Arabidopsis thaliana: one gene and its partners. The protein of the gene in region 1 purifies or fractionates together with the protein of each later gene. This does not show direct contact. Each region holds a gene or a part of one and is shown in the gene's direction. Other genes may lie near its edges.

Region 1 (4,305 bases):
AAAAAAAAAAAATCTAAGAAGTATAATAATTAGAGACTAATAGAGTCAATAACTCATTCTTTAAAATATATAGAACTAGCTGGAAACAATAGATTTGAATGGTACTACTTAGAATCCAGCAGGGTTCTTTAAAGTCATCATGAAGCAATGCAAAGTCTACCACTCTTGGCGTAATTGTTTTTTGGCACAAAAGTTAATGCAAAAGTCTTGATTATCGCAATTTTTCTTATGATGCCTTTGGTTTCTAACATCAGAGGATAAAAAAAGAATTTCACGAACAAAAATTGTGAATTTTGATATGCATAGAGGCGAGCTATAGACTCCCTAACGTGCTATTGCGTCGAGCCGTGGTGCTTACCTAGTTACACAGTATAACAAGCCTGCTTTAGTTTTATTTCATAAACCAATATAATGTAAATCACTTACTATGGCTTTTCGTATTTAGTAAACAATTTTACATTTATAATTTTCAGTTGACCTAAATTAAAAAATATGTACTACAATTAATCAATAGTTACTACGTATTACTAAAGAATCAATATTTGTTATGTGGTAATCAATGATGTCACGTCAATTCTTGACATTATTTTGTACGATTTAGAAAGCTACCGTCTACTAAAATATGTGCATAATTTAACGTTCATTATTTTAGAAAACAGTTTGCTTTGTCTATTTTTCTGAGTGTCAACTCTCATTTACAACTCATCAGTAAATATATAGATAACAAGTCACAAGTGTCTCCCATAATGATTAAGTTAGGTTGACTTAAAACATGATTAAGGTCAGACACACACACACATACATATATAGAAAGCTTTCAGTTTTTAGAACTAGTTAGTGACAATAAAAAGCCTATTGGTGAAACATCAGCACTTGTAACAACTTTTAAGTATATTTATTCAAATACATCATAATAGATTTTTGATCAAAAGAGATCATCATGTTCCTAAAAGTAATACTTGACTTGAATTTTCATGGCTTGGCACAAACTGAGAGATAAATGTCTTTTTTCAATCATTAAATATCTTAAAATATATATATATATATATATATATATATATCTTAAACATGAATGTTTTTGTTTTGGTATAAACGTGAATTATTCATGAACTGTTAATAGGTTTCAATGTCAATTGGATCGAATTATTGTATATATCTCTTGCTTGAAACTATATGTCGTGTGTCTTCATTTTTTTGTTTTCCTAATTGAATACTTTATACATGCATGTAGTATTATTATACAAAACCAAGATAATTTTTTTTAATGCTTCTGTTGATGATCTGAGTAATTTTGGACATATCTAAGAGTTAAGGGTGTAAAGTGCAATTTTCAGCAAATAAAACGTGGTTCCCGCTAACCCATGTTATCATTTTTGGTTTCAACCTTCAGCAAACTTAATTAATATTTGGTTATGAACTTTATTAAAATTTTGCAAGATTATCATAAGATTGTCGTATAAAGAGTGCTGAATCTTGACTTAATTTCATAAAACTGCTGATCTAAAATCGACATCTATGTAGTAAGTTCTGATCGGTTTGCTTGAACATATACGGTTGAGCTAGGACAATTATTCTTTGATTTATTACTTTAAATACTAGTATCAATTTTATTCACAAATTTATTTTTGTAATTTTTTTATACAAGCCTTTAATTTACCTTTTTTTTATTCACACATTACATGGCAATCACTTAATCACCAAAAACCGTATAGGATTAGGATCGTAATTTGCAAGTTATTAAGAAGATTTGGCAGATTACATCTCTAATTCAATAATGTTGTTACGTCACATAACTTCTTAAATAATTGATAAACTCTCTTAAATACGAACTTAATTGGTCTAGCCGGAATCTAAAGTCAACCCTAAACTCCTCCTTCTTCCTTTTAAGAGACACACAAGAGACAACCTTTCTTCTCCGTATCTCTCTTTCTCTCTCTCAGCTCTCTCAAACATGTCAGGAGCAATAACATGCTCTGCGGCCGATCTCGCCACCCTACTTGGCCCCAACGCCACGGCGGCGGCCGACTACATTTGCGGCCAATTAGGCACCGTTAACAACAAGTTCACCGATGCAGCCTTCGCCATAGACAACACCTACCTCCTCTTCTCTGCCTACCTTGTCTTCGCCATGCAGCTCGGCTTCGCTATGCTTTGTGCTGGTTCTGTTAGAGCCAAGAATACGATGAACATCATGCTTACCAATGTCCTTGACGCTGCAGCCGGAGGACTCTTCTACTATCTCTTTGGTTACGCCTTTGCCTTTGGAGGATCCTCCGAAGGGTTCATTGGAAGACACAACTTTGCTCTTAGAGACTTTCCGACTCCCACAGCTGATTACTCTTTCTTCCTCTACCAATGGGCGTTCGCAATCGCGGCCGCTGGAATCACAAGTGGTTCGATCGCAGAGAGGACTCAGTTCGTGGCTTACTTGATATACTCTTCTTTCTTAACCGGATTTGTTTACCCGGTTGTCTCTCACTGGTTTTGGTCCCCGGATGGATGGGCCAGTCCCTTTCGTTCAGCGGATGATCGTTTGTTTAGCACCGGAGCCATTGACTTTGCTGGCTCCGGTGTTGTTCACATGGTTGGTGGCATAGCAGGTTTATGGGGTGCTCTTATTGAAGGTCCTCGTCGTGGTCGGTTCGAGAAAGGTGGTCGCGCTATTGCTCTGCGCGGCCACTCTGCCTCGCTAGTAGTCTTAGGAACCTTCCTCCTATGGTTTGGATGGTATGGTTTCAACCCCGGTTCCTTCACTAAGATACTCGTTCCGTATAATTCTGGTTCCAACTACGGCCAATGGAGCGGAATCGGCCGTACAGCGGTTAACACCACACTCTCAGGATGCACAGCAGCTCTAACCACACTCTTTGGTAAACGTCTCCTATCAGGCCACTGGAACGTAACGGACGTTTGCAACGGGTTACTCGGTGGGTTTGCGGCCATAACCGCAGGTTGCTCCGTCGTAGAGCCATGGGCAGCGATTGTGTGCGGCTTCATGGCTTCTGTCGTCCTTATCGGATGCAACAAGCTCGCGGAGCTTGTACAATATGATGATCCACTCGAGGCAGCCCAACTACATGGAGGGTGTGGCGCGTGGGGGTTGATATTCGTAGGATTGTTTGCCAAAGAGAAGTATCTAAACGAGGTTTATGGCGCCACCCCGGGAAGGCCATATGGACTATTTATGGGCGGAGGAGGGAAGCTGTTGGGAGCACAATTGGTTCAAATACTTGTGATTGTAGGATGGGTTAGTGCCACAATGGGAACACTCTTCTTCATCCTCAAAAGGCTCAATCTGCTTAGGATCTCGGAGCAGCATGAAATGCAAGGGATGGATATGACACGTCACGGTGGCTTTGCTTATATCTACCATGATAATGATGATGAGTCTCATAGAGTGGATCCTGGATCTCCTTTCCCTCGATCAGCTACTCCTCCTCGCGTTTAATTTTCAACTTTTTGGTAATTTATTACCGTTTAAGTATTGTTTGGGTTTTGGTTTTGAAATATAAATATTTGGATGTTTTGGTTTGTTTTAAGTGACCTATCGTCTTTTTGTGTTTATAAGTGTTTTAGTTTATGTTTTTTTTTTTTTTCTTGAATTTTAATTTTACATGCCTCGGCTAATGTTTATGCTATTTCTTAGAAATTTATATATACAACTTTTGGTGATCCAAAAAGGAGAGTTATGCATATACTGTATACAACTTTGCTTAGGTTTTTGTTCTGCCGACGGCATTAGGAAATTGGAGTACACAAAAGTTGTTCTTAGAATAATATAAATTCTGAAAAATCATTTGTGTACCATTTCGTACCAAAAGCAGAACTTAGTCATTCCCTTATGTACACGTAAAGCGATTTTTTCCAATTAGTTAACTAGCCACGCTTAGGTACACGTAGATATTATCTTTTACTTGAACGATGTTGGTTAATAAATAATACTAGAAGAAATATGACATGTCATTACATCTATGTAACTGGTCACTTGTTTAGAACTATTGAACTAAGCCTAATGGGTTTTATTAGCCTAACAATTGTTGCTATTAATCGTACAAACTAAAATTAAAATATAAATCAAATTCTTGCGTCCTCGATAACTTTAAACAAAGGAGTATGACCCATATTTTGTGGTTGATAAATTTTAGCACCTAATATTTCAATAGTATTTTTTATTTATTTCAAATTCTGCTAAACAAAAATTTTTATAACATATATTCCTTGTTTGTATACACTTTCGAGACCTGTAGAATCATGGAATTACGATGCAATTCCAGTAGCTTATACCTTGCACATCATCTTTTTGTG
Region 2 (5,634 bases), on another chromosome or scaffold:
TTCTTTTCAGTCGCATTAGATAACAATAGACACGATATCAAATATGTTCGAAGTGCCCAAGCTGCGGATTTAACTAAAAAATCTTTCTCTATTTTTAAAGGAGTTTGGTTGACCAAGTGTTTAGGAACGTTGTATCATATCTTTTGATTTACAAATGTAAAGAGGTTGTTTTTGGGTCCATAGATGTTTTCTAAGAGACCCTTTATAACTCCTTCTTACAATATTCTTAACGATTATTTTTTTTTTTGAATTACTTAATATCTCAAGATGAGATATGATTTAGAAAATTCTGCAAATGGATGACATATAGTGGAATGATTGGAAAATTTTGAGTTGAACAAAACAAAGTTGAACATCATTCAACTCATCCCTCTGTAAAATAGTAGATGAAAGAGTTGAACAATTTTTTTTTATAATTTGTTTATTTTTTCAATTTTTGGCTGAATGGGTTGAATCAATTTTCCAATATATTCATTTCAAATGGTAAAAGGTGAGATGAATAGTCATTCAACATTTTCATTTCAACCTCTTATTATGTTATCCTGAACTCAGTATGTAGATAGATACTTTTCAGATTTTTTCACCTATCTTTGCATCTGCTTTGTAAAATTGTCATCTAGAAGAGATGGTGGAAAGTCACTAGGCTAGATTGTGCTATCTTTAGGTCCGAGATTCTAGCCTCGTTTTCTCCTCCCCAAAATTTTAAAATTTAAACCTCAATACAATGAATAAAAAGATAAATTATGTGTACAATGACTTTGGAAAAACATAAAAAAAAAAAAGACAATATGGAGTTAAAAGAAAAAAACTTAAAGTATCTACATACTCCCACAATAGTGTATAGATATGCATACGAAACTTCATATGGAAAAGGAAATATTTTGTTAACTAGAGATACTTCAGGCTCACTATCCAACTAATCTAATGTATTCGTTGAATAGTTTACTGTCCAAATTTTCTAACAGATCTAAAATGTGATACCAGTAACTGACCAACCGAAAATAAAAAGTTTTCCAGTAAAAACGAAAAAAAAAAAAATAATATACACCATGTCCCTAAACTTTTTATCCTTAGGAAAATGGTTAGAAATCTACATATTCAGAAACAAAATATACAAATACGATCAAATGCAGAAAGCTTTCAATTTCATAAACCGATGACCCGATCAATGTTTGGCTAATTATTTTTCTAAATAAATTTTGATACAATTCGCGGGCCACAAATTTATGATATATGCGTTATGTATTTTATATTGTGTATATATTCTGCTGGCAATTGGGAGATAATCTATATATATAATAGCTAACCAGGTTTATGTGTTTAGGTTTATGTGCTTGCTCACGACTGTTTTTTTTCAATAAAAAAACATCAACATCCAACGGTCAAAACATAGGCAGGGGAATCCACAAACAAATCTTAGAGCAACTACATTACATAATAGAAAGAAGATGTCTTTAACAATATTAAAATATTAAATTTACAAAATATTAATAATCAAATATGAAGGATATTTAAATTAGAGACATCCTCTCAAAAATGTCTCTATTTAGACATTTAAGACAATGTGTCTTTACTTTAAAGACATTCAAAAATTAAAATAATATTTATTTTGAATATATTATATTTTAAGTGTAAGAAGACACTCAACTTATTTGTGCAATGGAGTTGCTCTTAGCATACAACATTTATATAAGACTACGACATTACCCCTCCCTTCAGCTATAAATAGCAAATCAAGAAACTTTTCCGCAATTATACATCAATACATTGTGGATAAATATATAAACGAGAAAAAATGGGAAATATGAGAAGCTTAGTGAAGACGTTAATGGTGGTTCTATTTCTTGGATGGATTTTGGTTTGGATTATGATTTCAACTAATCTTTTTAAAAGCAAATGGACCCCGAAACTCTCCAAGTATCTCAATACTACTTATTTTGGCCCTCAAGGTATTAATTTCTCGATTTAATTATCTCACATTTTAATATTTTGATTCCTTTATTTTGAGTATTCAAGAATTATATCTTGTATGTCTAGGCACGAATCTTGTGCTTCTCACGGTTCCCATGATGTTCATTGCGGTTCTAAGTTGTGTTTATTTGCATATCCAGAAGAAACCAACCCAACCTCAAAGGTACAACTTGTTATACTTTTATTTTTATTGACAACATGTAAATATTTGCAATAAATTATCACAATCCTATTTATATGAATGCAGAGAATGGAAGCTAAAAAGGATAATGGGGAGGGTGATTATGGTGATGAACCCATTGGGGATAGTGACAGCCACGGAGTTAACTTTTTCTCTATTGTTTGTTGCTCTTTTGGCTTGGTCCCTCTACAATTATCTCTACCTTAGCTATCACGTCCACCTTCATAACGACGACAACGCAAAAATGTAAGCTTCTATTTGTTTTCTACTTCCATTTGAAAATGATTTATCAAAATATCACATGGAGATAATTCAACACTATGTTTTATATAAAAGATATGAACATCTCACTTATTACTAGATTTGAATTCGATAAGTCATCATTTTCACATGGTTACGCTATAGCGGATGAAATAGACCAAAAACAACGGCGCATTTTTTGCACTGCCATTATTAGTATATCCCATCCATGCATAGTACCAAAATATTTACATCCTTAAAAAAGAAACAGATATTTAAATCCATAGGAGAATTTGATTGAACATTGATTCAAATGGTGCAGATGGCAGGCAAAGTTTAGGGCTTTCGGCCTGAGAATAGGATATGTGGGCAACATCTGTTGGGCCTTTTTGTTCTTCCCGGTGACAAGAGCCTCTACGATTCTGCCACTTGTCGGGTTAACGTCAGAGTCAAGTATAAAATATCACATTTGGCTTGGACATGTCTCAAATTTTTGCTTCCTCGTTCACACAGTCGTTTTCCTTATCTACTGGGCCATGATCAATAAGTTGATGGAGGTCCGTGTTACATGCATCTACCTTAATCTTATCCTTAAAACAAAACAAAACAAAACTTTCATTCTTTCTTTTATTCCAACTGATATTTGTTTTTACGTTTTCTTATATATGTGAAGACGTTTGCATGGAATCCAACATATGTGCCTAATCTGGCCGGAACAATAGCGATGGTGATTGGAATAGCGATGTGGGTGACGAGTTTACCATCCTTTAGACGAAAGAAGTTTGAGATTTTCTTCTACACTCACCATCTCTACGGTCTCTATATAGTCTTCTACGTAATCCACGTGGGAGACTCGTGGTTCTGCATGATCTTGCCAAACATCTTTCTCTTTTTTATAGACCGATACTTGAGATTCTTACAATCCACCAAGAGATCCAGACTTGTGTCTGCTAGGATCTTACCTTCAGACAACCTCGAACTCACTTTCTCCAAAACCCCAGGTTTATAACTAGTTCATCCATTTACGTTGACATTCAAATGTTTTGGGTTTATAATCTGAAAGAGAAATATAATATAAAATTGGATTTTAATTAATTATATACTTTGAATAGTATTTGCATTTTAATTTGAACTAGAGTGCCACGTTCAAGAGAGAGATGCATGCTTCATGATTGTTGTAACCATTTGTTTTACTAACTATAGGGCTACATTATACCCCAACAAGCATATTGTTTCTACATGTGCCAAGCATTTCGAAGATTCAATGGCATCCATTTACTATAACTTCGAGCAGCAACTTAGAGAAAGATACATTAAGTGTTGTAATCAGAAGACAGGGAAGTTGGACTCAAAAGCTTTACACACATCTCTCTTCTTCCATTGATTCTCTCGAAGTTTCTACTGAGGGTCCGTATGGCCCTAACTCTTTTGATGTCTCAAGGTACAAAACTCAAAGGTGTTATTTCAGTTTCATACTTAATTACTTTATCTTAAGTTAGTCTAATTATATTGTCTCCATCATTTTCGTCTTATATAGGCATAACTCTCTAATACTAGTGAGCGGTGGAAGCGGAATTACACCCTTCATTTCGGTTATCAGAGAACTCATATCTCAGAGCCAAAACAAGAGCACAAAGCTACCAGATGTTCTTCTTGTTTGTTCTTTTAAACATTACCATGATCTTGCGTTTTTAGACCTAATCTTCCCACTGGATATGTCAGCCTCTGACATTTCTAGGCTGAATCTCCGAATTGAGGCCTATATTACAAGAGAAGACAAGAAGCCCGAGACAACTGATGACCACAGACTTCTTCAAACAAAATGGTTTAAACCGCAGCCTCTAGACTCTCCTATCTCACCTGTTCTTGGACCAAACAACTTCCTCTGGCTCGGAGTTGTGATCTTATCATCATTCGTCATGTTTCTCTTGCTCATAGGGATCGTCACACGTTACTATATATACCCTGTTGACCATAATACAGGATCCATCTACAATTTCTCATATAGAGGGCTTTGGGACATGTTTCTAGGAAGTGCGTGCATTTTCATCTCTTCCAGTGTAGTTTTCTTATGGCGCAAGAAACAGAACAAAGAAGGGGATAAGGAGTTCAAGAATCAGGTACAAAGCGTAGAGTTTCAGACACCCACTTCTTCTCCAGGTTCATGGTTCCACGGCCACGAGAGAGAGCTCGAGAGTGTTCCCTATCAATCTATAGTACAAGCCACTTCAGTCCACTTCGGCTCCAAACCTAATCTGAAAAGTAAGTAATCTATTACCACTATATTCGACATGATAGCATCACTTACATTACATAAATGGTGTAAGTGAAATTACATATGCATGAATCTGATACTTTAACCTTGTCGCTTTGCAGAGATTCTACTTGAGGCTGAGGGTTCAGAAGACGTTGGGGTGATGGTTTGCGGACCAAGAAAGATGAGACATGAAGTTGCAAAGATATGTTCATCTGGTTTGGCTAAGAACCTTCACTTTGAGGCAATTAGTTTCAACTGGTGATGTATTCCATGTTCTAACTATGTGTGTTTATATTCATCGTAATAACTTTTGATGTTTTAGATGGTTTGCTGTTTGATTTTCTATTTTTAATACAATTTAAAATGGAATGTTAATGTATATGTTATCCTGCACCTTCATTATTATCAATTTCTAATCATCATTAATCCTATTGAGCCCATTATAGACTTAGTGAGTGTTTTTTCTTTGTTAACTTTTTTTGCTTTTCTCTTTCTTCATTTTTCTTTCATATTCATTACTTCCTTCTGTTTCATATCGTAAGATATTTAATTTTGGGAAAAAATTACATAAATGTTTACGTGTTTGATTTAAAGTCTATTTGACCACTAATCTATACCACTTTAAACTTATATAGTAAATTAAGTGAAATATAATTAGATTGCAATTAGATGAAATAAAAATACTGTAATGCGTTAAAACATCTTATAAAATTAAAACAGATCCAAGTAGTATAGCAAAGGTCACTTTTATTCTATAGCACAAGTCCATTTTTTAACCGGTCTATGTTTAGACTTGTTTGATAAACATAATTATTACTAGATGAGGATACTAGGACTTGGAGTAGCGTAAACGAGTAGTTCACTATCATGCTCATACTTAGCCATGTCGGTTTCAGGTAGTGTAACCCTTGCCTCAACCCCTTCACTGTCCTTTGAGTCCATTAACACGACCTGCGTCTTATCAACTGAATCTGGGGCAACCCAA
Region 3 (7,875 bases), about 13 Mb from region 1:
TATCGCATGACTCTTATATAGTTTTATTATATGTACGTAATATATAGAGTGGATCACAACTTGGTTACCAGTACCGACAGAAATAATCTCCACCCATGTTTTAACTTCTCTTTTTTTTCATGTGTAAAGAAATTTTTTGTGTGTTTTCTATCTTTCATTTGGCATGTTTTGTAGATAAATATAGCCAAAAAGAAAGAAAGATATAAGTGTTATATTGACAATACAAGATAATCTCGTAATGTAATAGCTCCAATTGTTGAAAAGAAAAAACAAAAAATATAAAGAGCAGTTTGCCATATATATCAATTGGAAACTATTCAGTTTTAATTCCATTTTCATAGAATTTTTTATAACAATCTCAAATCCAAAAGCTGGAATAAAGATAAGTGAATTGGGCAAGTGACCGTGACGTGACGACCAACATGAACAATTTTTTTTTTTTTCCTTTACACTTCCATTAAAACGAAAATTACAAGCCTTAAAAGCCCATGACGGCCACATAGCCCAATAAAAAGCAACAAAATACATTCATCTGAAGTATATAAACGGCTTCCTGAAAACTTTGAAGTAGCTAAGCAATAGGACGTGAAACACTTATATTTGAAGATTAAACTGGATTGTTACTTTAAGTTTCAATCCAATTTCGTAATGACCAAGTTCGTTTTTAAGTGTAGTCTCATTATTCGAACATCTCGCAGAACATGTTTACTTGACTTGCGCACCAGTTGTTCGTCAAAATGTCCACATGAACTTCTCAAAACACCAGTGTTTCAATGAACTTCATGCTTACATCTTCAAATGATTTTTGCTGATTTTAGTTTCTTTTATTTATTTATATACTATGAGTTCGAGAAACTCTTGGAGTCTTAGAAAGTAGAGTGAAATGCCTATGTTTTCCTTGAGTTGTAATGCCAAAACCAGAAGCTGTAGATTTCAATGGAGAAAACTACAGGACCATGGAAGCTTTATTTTTACAGGCTTTCGCAATCTGAAGATGCACTTTGATGCCTATGGATACTTCTTGACCAGTTGCATGATGTCACATCCAACAAGGTACCACAAATTTCACCCTTATTTTATTATCTTCCGTAATTGGTACGGGCATGGATCTTGCTCTCATTAAACAATAAGAAAACAGAATTAAACAAGGCAAGAAACTTGTCGTCGAAAAGACGTCCGGCTAAATTGTTGTTGTCCACTAAATGGTTCTTTTGTCTTCTGAAGATTTATATGGTCATAAACTTGTCATACATATTTTTAATTATTGATTTTGCTATAATGGACGGTGTTAAGCTCTCAAGAATCTCGGAATATCCTGATTAGCGTAGAAAATATAAAAATCCCAACATTATGGATCACCACTATCTTGAATTGTTTATTATAGATTTTTTACATTTTCTGAGAGTTTTCTTTCTTTCACGTTCTAAGAATAGGACCGTGCTAAATAATGCGATTAAGGGAGAATTTTGATCGAATTATTTGACGCGTGTGCCAATTGTTTTTTTTTGTTTTGTTTGTCCCTCTAACCTTTTCAATAGACAAAAACAGAGGTCAATGCTTTGATTAGCTCGACCTTAGACATTAACAACTTAGTCAGATTTGTTTTTTGACTTTTGTGAATTTTCTTCTCCTGATTACTAGGATTAGGAGTTACAATTAATCTAGGATTCTTACGGAGGTAAAATGTTAGTCAAAAGAAGAAACCTAATGCAGTTTAGTTTAGATTTCTTACTACCCTAATGCCATTAGATGCTGAGAGGGGCTACAATTTTCTACGTCTTCAAATGTACATTGGTAAAGGAATATCTGTTTTCTCAGATCTTTTTTTTTCATCCTTATTTTAATTACATTTTGCGGTAACAATAGTGACAATAAAAAAAGAAGAAGAAGAGTTAGTTGCATTTTGAATGAGTCAGCTTTCTTCTGCATTGGGTTAATCTGGCCGGCAAAATCTTTGAATTCGTTATTATATAGACCTTCTTGTCTTCTTTATATATTGCTTGCATTACACATTTGTCTCAACTTCCAGATTTGCCCCTGGTTTAAAACGATTGTCCTGTTTCCTTTGTGAAGGTCAAGCTTTGAAGGGCTAACGGGTGATGCTTTGGTGAAGGTTTTTTCTGGTCCAGGTTTGTGCTTATTTTGCATTGCTTCTCTTTGATTCACGTCTGCATAAACATCAAATAATTCATTTATGTTTGAGTTGATTATGTAGAAAAAATTATTAGGGGAGATGCTTTATGATAAGAAAAAAAAGTGGTCTTGTGGTATCTTAAGGCAGAAGGAAAATATTTAGTGTCTTAATGAGTAATAGATTTATCTGTCTATCCAGATTTTATAACTGAGTTTTAGTAACTTCCGGCTCAAGCAAAAAGGAAGTTCGATATGACGGACATAGAAGCTCTCAAGGCTATCACCACGGAGAGCATTGATCTGGTATGTACTTTTATACCTCACCACTTTTTTTTTGCAGATGATTGCTTCTGATAGCTTTTATGTCAAATATGAACAAATGCAATTTCTCATGGATCGTTGCAGGAAAATGTTCCCGTTGAAGAGGTTTTTCAACATCTCAAATGCACGAAAGAAGGATTGACCTCCAATGAAGTGCAGGAGCGACTTACCTTGTTTGGTTACAACAAACTTGAGGAGAAAAAGGTTTTAAAAAATGATTTTTCAATCTTGCATTGATCTCTTATTTTCTCTCTATGGATGGTATGTTGATCTCTCTTTCTATTTGGTTCTGCAGGAGAGTAAGATACTCAAGTTCTTGGGATTCATGTGGAATCCACTTTCATGGGTCATGGAAGCTGCAGCCCTCATGGCCATTGGTCTTGCACATGGAGGAGTACGTCTTTTGTTCCCTCTCATTAGTCGTTTCTTTCCACAATATGTAAATACGTAAAATTGTGAAAGGTATAGCTTAACATAGAATTTTAAAACAATTTTGAGAGTCTGAAGAAACTAATTTGTCTCAACTCTTCAGGGAAAGCCAGCGGATTATCACGATTTCGTGGGTATTGTGGTCTTACTTTTGATAAACTCGACAATCAGTTTTGTAGAAGAAAACAATGCTGGAAATGCAGCTGCTGCTCTCATGGCTCAGTTAGCCCCTAAAGCGAAGGTTTAAATTTATTCCTTTTAGTTGCGCTCATTTAAATTTGATGGTAGTAGCTTATTTACAAATCAATTGTTTTAGGCCGTCCGCGATGGCAAATGGAATGAGATAGATGCAGCTGAGTTGGTTCCAGGAGATATAGTTAGTATCAAACTTGGAGATATCATTCCTGCTGATGCTCGTCTTCTTGAAGGAGACCCTTTAAAGATTGACCAGGCAAGTTCTACTTCTAATATTGGTTTATCATTGCTCTGTATCTTATCTCTCCCTTGACTAATCTTGGTTATTTATCTTTTCCTCAGTCAGCACTTACAGGTGAATCTCTTCCGGTAACCAAAAATCCTGGTGCTTCAGTGTACTCTGGTTCAACTTGCAAGCAAGGTGAAATTGAAGCAGTTGTTATAGCGACTGGTGTCCACACTTTCTTTGGAAAGGCGGCTCATCTTGTGGATAGTACTACGCATGTCGGTCACTTCCAGAAGGTTTGTTCTCACTTTGGAGTAAAATATAAAAGTTTACAAAGATTTTGGAGTCAATGACTAAATTTAATCTTTGTATATTGGTTTCCAGGTTTTGACAGCAATAGGAAATTTCTGTATCTGCTCGATTGCAGTAGGAATGGCAATTGAAATCGTTGTTATATACGGTCTTCAAAAGAGAGGGTACCGTGTTGGTATTGATAACCTTCTTGTTTTATTGATTGGTGGGATCCCCATTGCAATGCCTACTGTTCTCTCTGTTACAATGGCAATTGGTGCTCATCGCTTGGCTCAACAGGTCAATACAAGTCTTAAGACAGAGTCAGTTAACTTTTGTTGATTTGTGTTTCTTTATAAATGACTTTAAAATCCATTTCAGGGTGCCATAACAAAGAGAATGACAGCCATTGAAGAAATGGCAGGAATGGATGTTCTGTGCAGTGATAAAACAGGTACTCTCACGCTCAACAAGCTTTCTGTGGATAAGAATCTGATCGAGGTTTGCCTCTTTCCTCTGTTCTTCTTACTTTGTATTTAAAAATCTTGATAGGTTGAGGACGATGATGTAATTAGAGCACTTTCATTTCTTTTAAAACAGGTTTTTAAGAGGGGCATCGACAGAGATATGGCTGTGCTTATGGCTGCAAGAGCTGCACGTTTAGAGAACCAAGATGCTATTGATACTGCAATTGTTTCGATGTTGTCAGACCCGAAAGAGGTATTAATTAAAGACTCAACTTTCAAGTAAACAAGATTCAGTTACTTTCAAAGGTATAAACATTGTGATGTATTGATCTGATACTTTGTCTTCAGGCACGTGCCGGGATTAAAGAACTCCATTTTCTTCCATTCAGTCCAGCTAATAGAAGAACTGCACTAACGTACCTAGACGGAGAAGGCAAAATGCACCGAGTGAGCAAAGGCGCGCCTGAAGAGGTTATAACCTTTGCTGTCAACTTTCTTTATAAATAGCTATTACTACATTACTTTAAGTTTACCCACTGTTTCCTAAGATATTGTTCTGATGATTTGTCCTTCTCTAGATTTTGGATATGGCCCACAACAAATTAGAAATCAAGGAGAAAGTACATGCTACAATCGACAAATTTGCAGAACGTGGCCTAAGATCGCTTGGGTTGGCATATCAGGTAATTATGTTTTAAATGTGGCACTTGTTTTAAATGGGATAACTCCTACGATTCCATTGTAACGATCCCTTTTCCAATAATAGGAAGTACCAGATGGTGATGTTAAAGGTGAAGGTGGTCCATGGGACTTTGTAGCTCTTCTTCCTCTGTTTGATCCTCCTCGTCATGACAGTGCACAGACAATTGAGCGAGCACTTCATCTTGGAGTCAGTGTTAAAATGATCACAGGTAAAGAGCCAGTCTTTAGCTCCTTTCCGCCATATCATTAGGTCCTACTCCACCTTGGATTCTTGTGTATTCATAAAATGTCAAAAATCTCAATACTTGCAGGTGACCAGCTTGCAATTGCCAAAGAAACAGGAAGAAGGCTTGGAATGGGCACAAACATGTACCCATCTTCATCTTTGCTTTCTGATAACAACACTGAAGGAGTTTCTGTCGATGAACTTATCGAGAACGCAGATGGTTTTGCAGGAGTCTTTCCTGGTAATGCTACTTACTTGTAAACTTCATTTGTAACTATGATCTTTGAGAGATATCTGACATTGACAACCCCCTTTTTCTGATTTTTAGAGCATAAGTATGAGATTGTGAAGAGATTACAATCCCGAAAACACATATGTGGTATGACTGGTGATGGAGTGAATGACGCACCTGCCTTGAAGAAAGCTGATATTGGAATTGCTGTGGATGATGCCACTGATGCTGCTCGGGGTGCTTCTGATATTGTCTTAACAGAACCTGGACTTAGTGTTATCATCAGTGCTGTCTTGACTAGCCGTGCAATTTTCCAGAGAATGAAAAATTACACGGTACATAAATGCTTCTGCCTCATTGGCTATTACCTGATAAAGTTTAAATTGAATGCTTATATTGAATTTTTTTGGTTTACCTTCATTTTGCAGATATATGCTGTTTCTATCACTATACGTATTGTCGTAAGTTTCTCAGTCGAAATTGCATCAGATTTTCACAAATACTTGGTCTTATTTTCTATACCTTTGTGTTACAGATGGGTTTCATGCTTCTATGTGTCTTCTGGGAGTTTGACTTCCCTCCATTCATGGTTCTTGTAATTGCAATCCTTAACGATGGTTAGTAACTGTTAACTCCCTCGATGATTTAGCTTACGGCTTTTGCTGGTGCTTGAAGCATTCACCCTGCTAAATTTGCTTTCCTGTTGAAAAGGTACTATAATGACCATATCCAAGGACAGAGTCAAGCCTTCTCCAACTCCAGATTGTTGGAAACTCAAAGAAATTTTTGCTACTGGTGTTGTGCTTGGAGCTTACTTGGCGATCATGACTGTTGTGTTTTTCTGGGCAGCATACGAAACCAACTTCTTCCATGTAAGCTACACACTATCCCTCTCCTTGTTTACTCTAATTTCAACTGTCAGCAAAATATAACTATACTTTTTTCCCTTTTGTGGTAGAACATTTTCCATGTGAGAAACTTCAACCAGCACCATTTCAAAATGAAAGACAAGAAAGTGGCTGCACATTTGAATGAACAGATGGCTTCCGCGGTCTACCTTCAAGTCAGCACGATCAGCCAAGCGTTGATCTTCGTGACCCGTTCCAGGAGCTGGTCATTTGTTGAGCGTCCCGGTTTTCTTCTTGTAATTGCTTTCCTAATAGCTCAGCTGGTAAAGAGATTTCCGTCACCTATCTCATTATTTTCCTTAGTTACTTACCTCTTTGTTTATAGTTTGTTAATAGAATCCAACTCTGTATTATTTTGATAGGTTGCATCGGTGATATCGGCAATGGCAAATTGGCCTTTTGCTGGAATCAGAAGCATTGGATGGGGTTGGACTGGAGTTATCTGGATATTCAACATAGTAACTTACATGTTACTTGATCCTATCAAATTCCTAGTCCGTTATGCTCTAAGTGGCAAATCATGGGACCGAATGGTCGAGGGGAGGGTACGTAGACCAAAAAAAAGACAGAATCACTTAACTCTAAATTCGGTACTTCACAATTACGTTGGCCTAACTAGAACTCGTGATTTGTTTGCAGACTGCACTCACAGGAAAGAAGAATTTTGGCCAAGAAGAAAGAATGGCTGCGTGGGCCACCGAGAAGCGTACACAGCACGGTTTAGAGACGGGTCAAAAGCCAGTTTATGAGAGAAATAGCGCAACGGAACTTAACAATATGGCTGAGGAAGCTAAAAGGCGTGCAGAAATTGCAAGGTTAGTTTTTTTTTTATATTAGAGATCGTTAGTCTCTGTCATGTTTGAGAGATGATCTCATTTCTAGTATGCTGATGAATTTTGCAGAATGAGAGAGCTTCAGACATTGAAGGGGAAGGTTGAATCAGCTGCAAAGCTGAAAGGCTATGATCTTGAGGATCCTAACAGCAACAACTACACAATCTGAGACAGTCTCAATCTCTGCTTAGTTCATTTTGTCTTTTATTTTCGATGTATTATTATTAATTCTTCTTGATATATTGACATTAGTTTTGATATCTTTGTGGAAGATGTCTCACATGTTGTAATCTTTCAATTGATGCCTGTAACTTTCTTACTTTTTATTTGATGAAAATTCTTATTTGATTGGTTTTGTTCGGTTCTTTACTGAAATAAAACCAAACCGAGTCAAACCAAACTAGACTAAACCGTCTGAACACAACTCGAACCAAACTAACTATGGTTGAGGACACTCGAACCAAACTAACTATGGTTGAGGTCCGCTAGAGTTTTATTACAACCGAATTAACCGAACCGAAAATAAACCGAAATGCACCCCCTAACTACACCTAACGCAAAAGAATATACTCCACAGAGATGTTTGTTTTTTTAACCAGACCGGTTTAAATTTGTTTCTTTTCAGATAGAACAGAAGTATCCAAGTCTTTTAAAGTTTTAATTCTCGCAAACCAACAATTACTGTTTGACTAATTACTTCTCACGCGCCAAATTCGCACGTGTAAGACAACCCAACTAAAAGTTAACTAACTCACAAGTGCGTGCTCCACACGTGCCTATCTGTTGATAAGAATGCCACAATTTTCATCTCATATTCTCATTGAACAAAAATAATAAATTCTCAGTGATCCTTCGAGAGATTGATTATAAAATCCGGTCGGCGACGAGACTTACTTTCGCCGCAAAATTTGT

What was found. Proteins that work in one complex are often made in the same cells at the same time.
Region 2: the proteins of AMT1;3 (region 1) and FRO4 purify together in Arabidopsis thaliana (affinity purification with mass spectrometry, with the first as the bait; one large-scale study listed by BioGRID). This does not show direct contact.
Region 3: the proteins of AMT1;3 (region 1) and HA7 purify together in Arabidopsis thaliana (affinity purification with mass spectrometry, with the first as the bait; one large-scale study listed by BioGRID). This does not show direct contact.

Annotation. Positions count from the first base shown.
Region 1 is NC_003074.8:8,805,001-8,809,305, reverse strand, and holds AMT1;3 (ammonium transporter 1;3), read left to right. Parts: upstream 1-1,845; 5' UTR 1,846-1,951; coding exon 1,952-3,448; 3' UTR 3,449-3,787; downstream 3,788-4,305.
Region 2 is NC_003076.8:8,097,444-8,103,077, reverse strand, and holds FRO4 (ferric reduction oxidase 4), read left to right. Parts: upstream 1-1,747; 5' UTR 1,748-1,795; coding exon 1,796-1,949; intron 1,950-2,037; coding exon 2,038-2,134; intron 2,135-2,218; coding exon 2,219-2,398; intron 2,399-2,714; coding exon 2,715-2,949; intron 2,950-3,065; coding exon 3,066-3,393; intron 3,394-3,595; coding exon 3,596-3,833; intron 3,834-3,929; coding exon 3,930-4,654; intron 4,655-4,768; coding exon 4,769-4,911; 3' UTR 4,912-5,100; downstream 5,101-5,634. Other genes in the region: AT5G23970 (HXXXD-type acyl-transferase family protein), read right to left, coding at 5,466-5,634. UniProt on the Arabidopsis thaliana protein: Ferric chelate reductase. May participate in the transport of electrons to a Fe(3+) ion via FAD and heme intermediates.
Region 3 is NC_003074.8:22,296,378-22,304,252, forward strand, and holds HA7 (H[+]-ATPase 7), read left to right. Parts: upstream 1-2,148; intron 2,149-2,171; exon of another isoform or gene 2,172-2,332; 5' UTR 2,333-2,385; coding exon 2,386-2,436; intron 2,437-2,538; coding exon 2,539-2,658; intron 2,659-2,749; coding exon 2,750-2,848; intron 2,849-2,986; coding exon 2,987-3,124; intron 3,125-3,199; coding exon 3,200-3,334; coding exon of another isoform or gene 3,335-3,338; intron 3,339-3,420; coding exon 3,421-3,600; intron 3,601-3,688; coding exon 3,689-3,895; intron 3,896-3,976; coding exon 3,977-4,096; intron 4,097-4,195; coding exon 4,196-4,315; intron 4,316-4,410; coding exon 4,411-4,533; intron 4,534-4,640; coding exon 4,641-4,745; intron 4,746-4,828; coding exon 4,829-4,973; intron 4,974-5,075; coding exon 5,076-5,231; intron 5,232-5,318; coding exon 5,319-5,557; intron 5,558-5,650; coding exon 5,651-5,683; intron 5,684-5,757; coding exon 5,758-5,839; intron 5,840-5,933; coding exon 5,934-6,094; intron 6,095-6,180; coding exon 6,181-6,393; and 8 more. Other genes in the region: AT3G60328 (uncharacterized protein), read right to left, coding at 1,990-2,148. UniProt on the Arabidopsis thaliana protein: The plasma membrane H(+) ATPase of plants and fungi generates a proton gradient that drives the active transport of nutrients by H(+)-symport. The resulting external acidification and/or internal alkinization may mediate growth responses.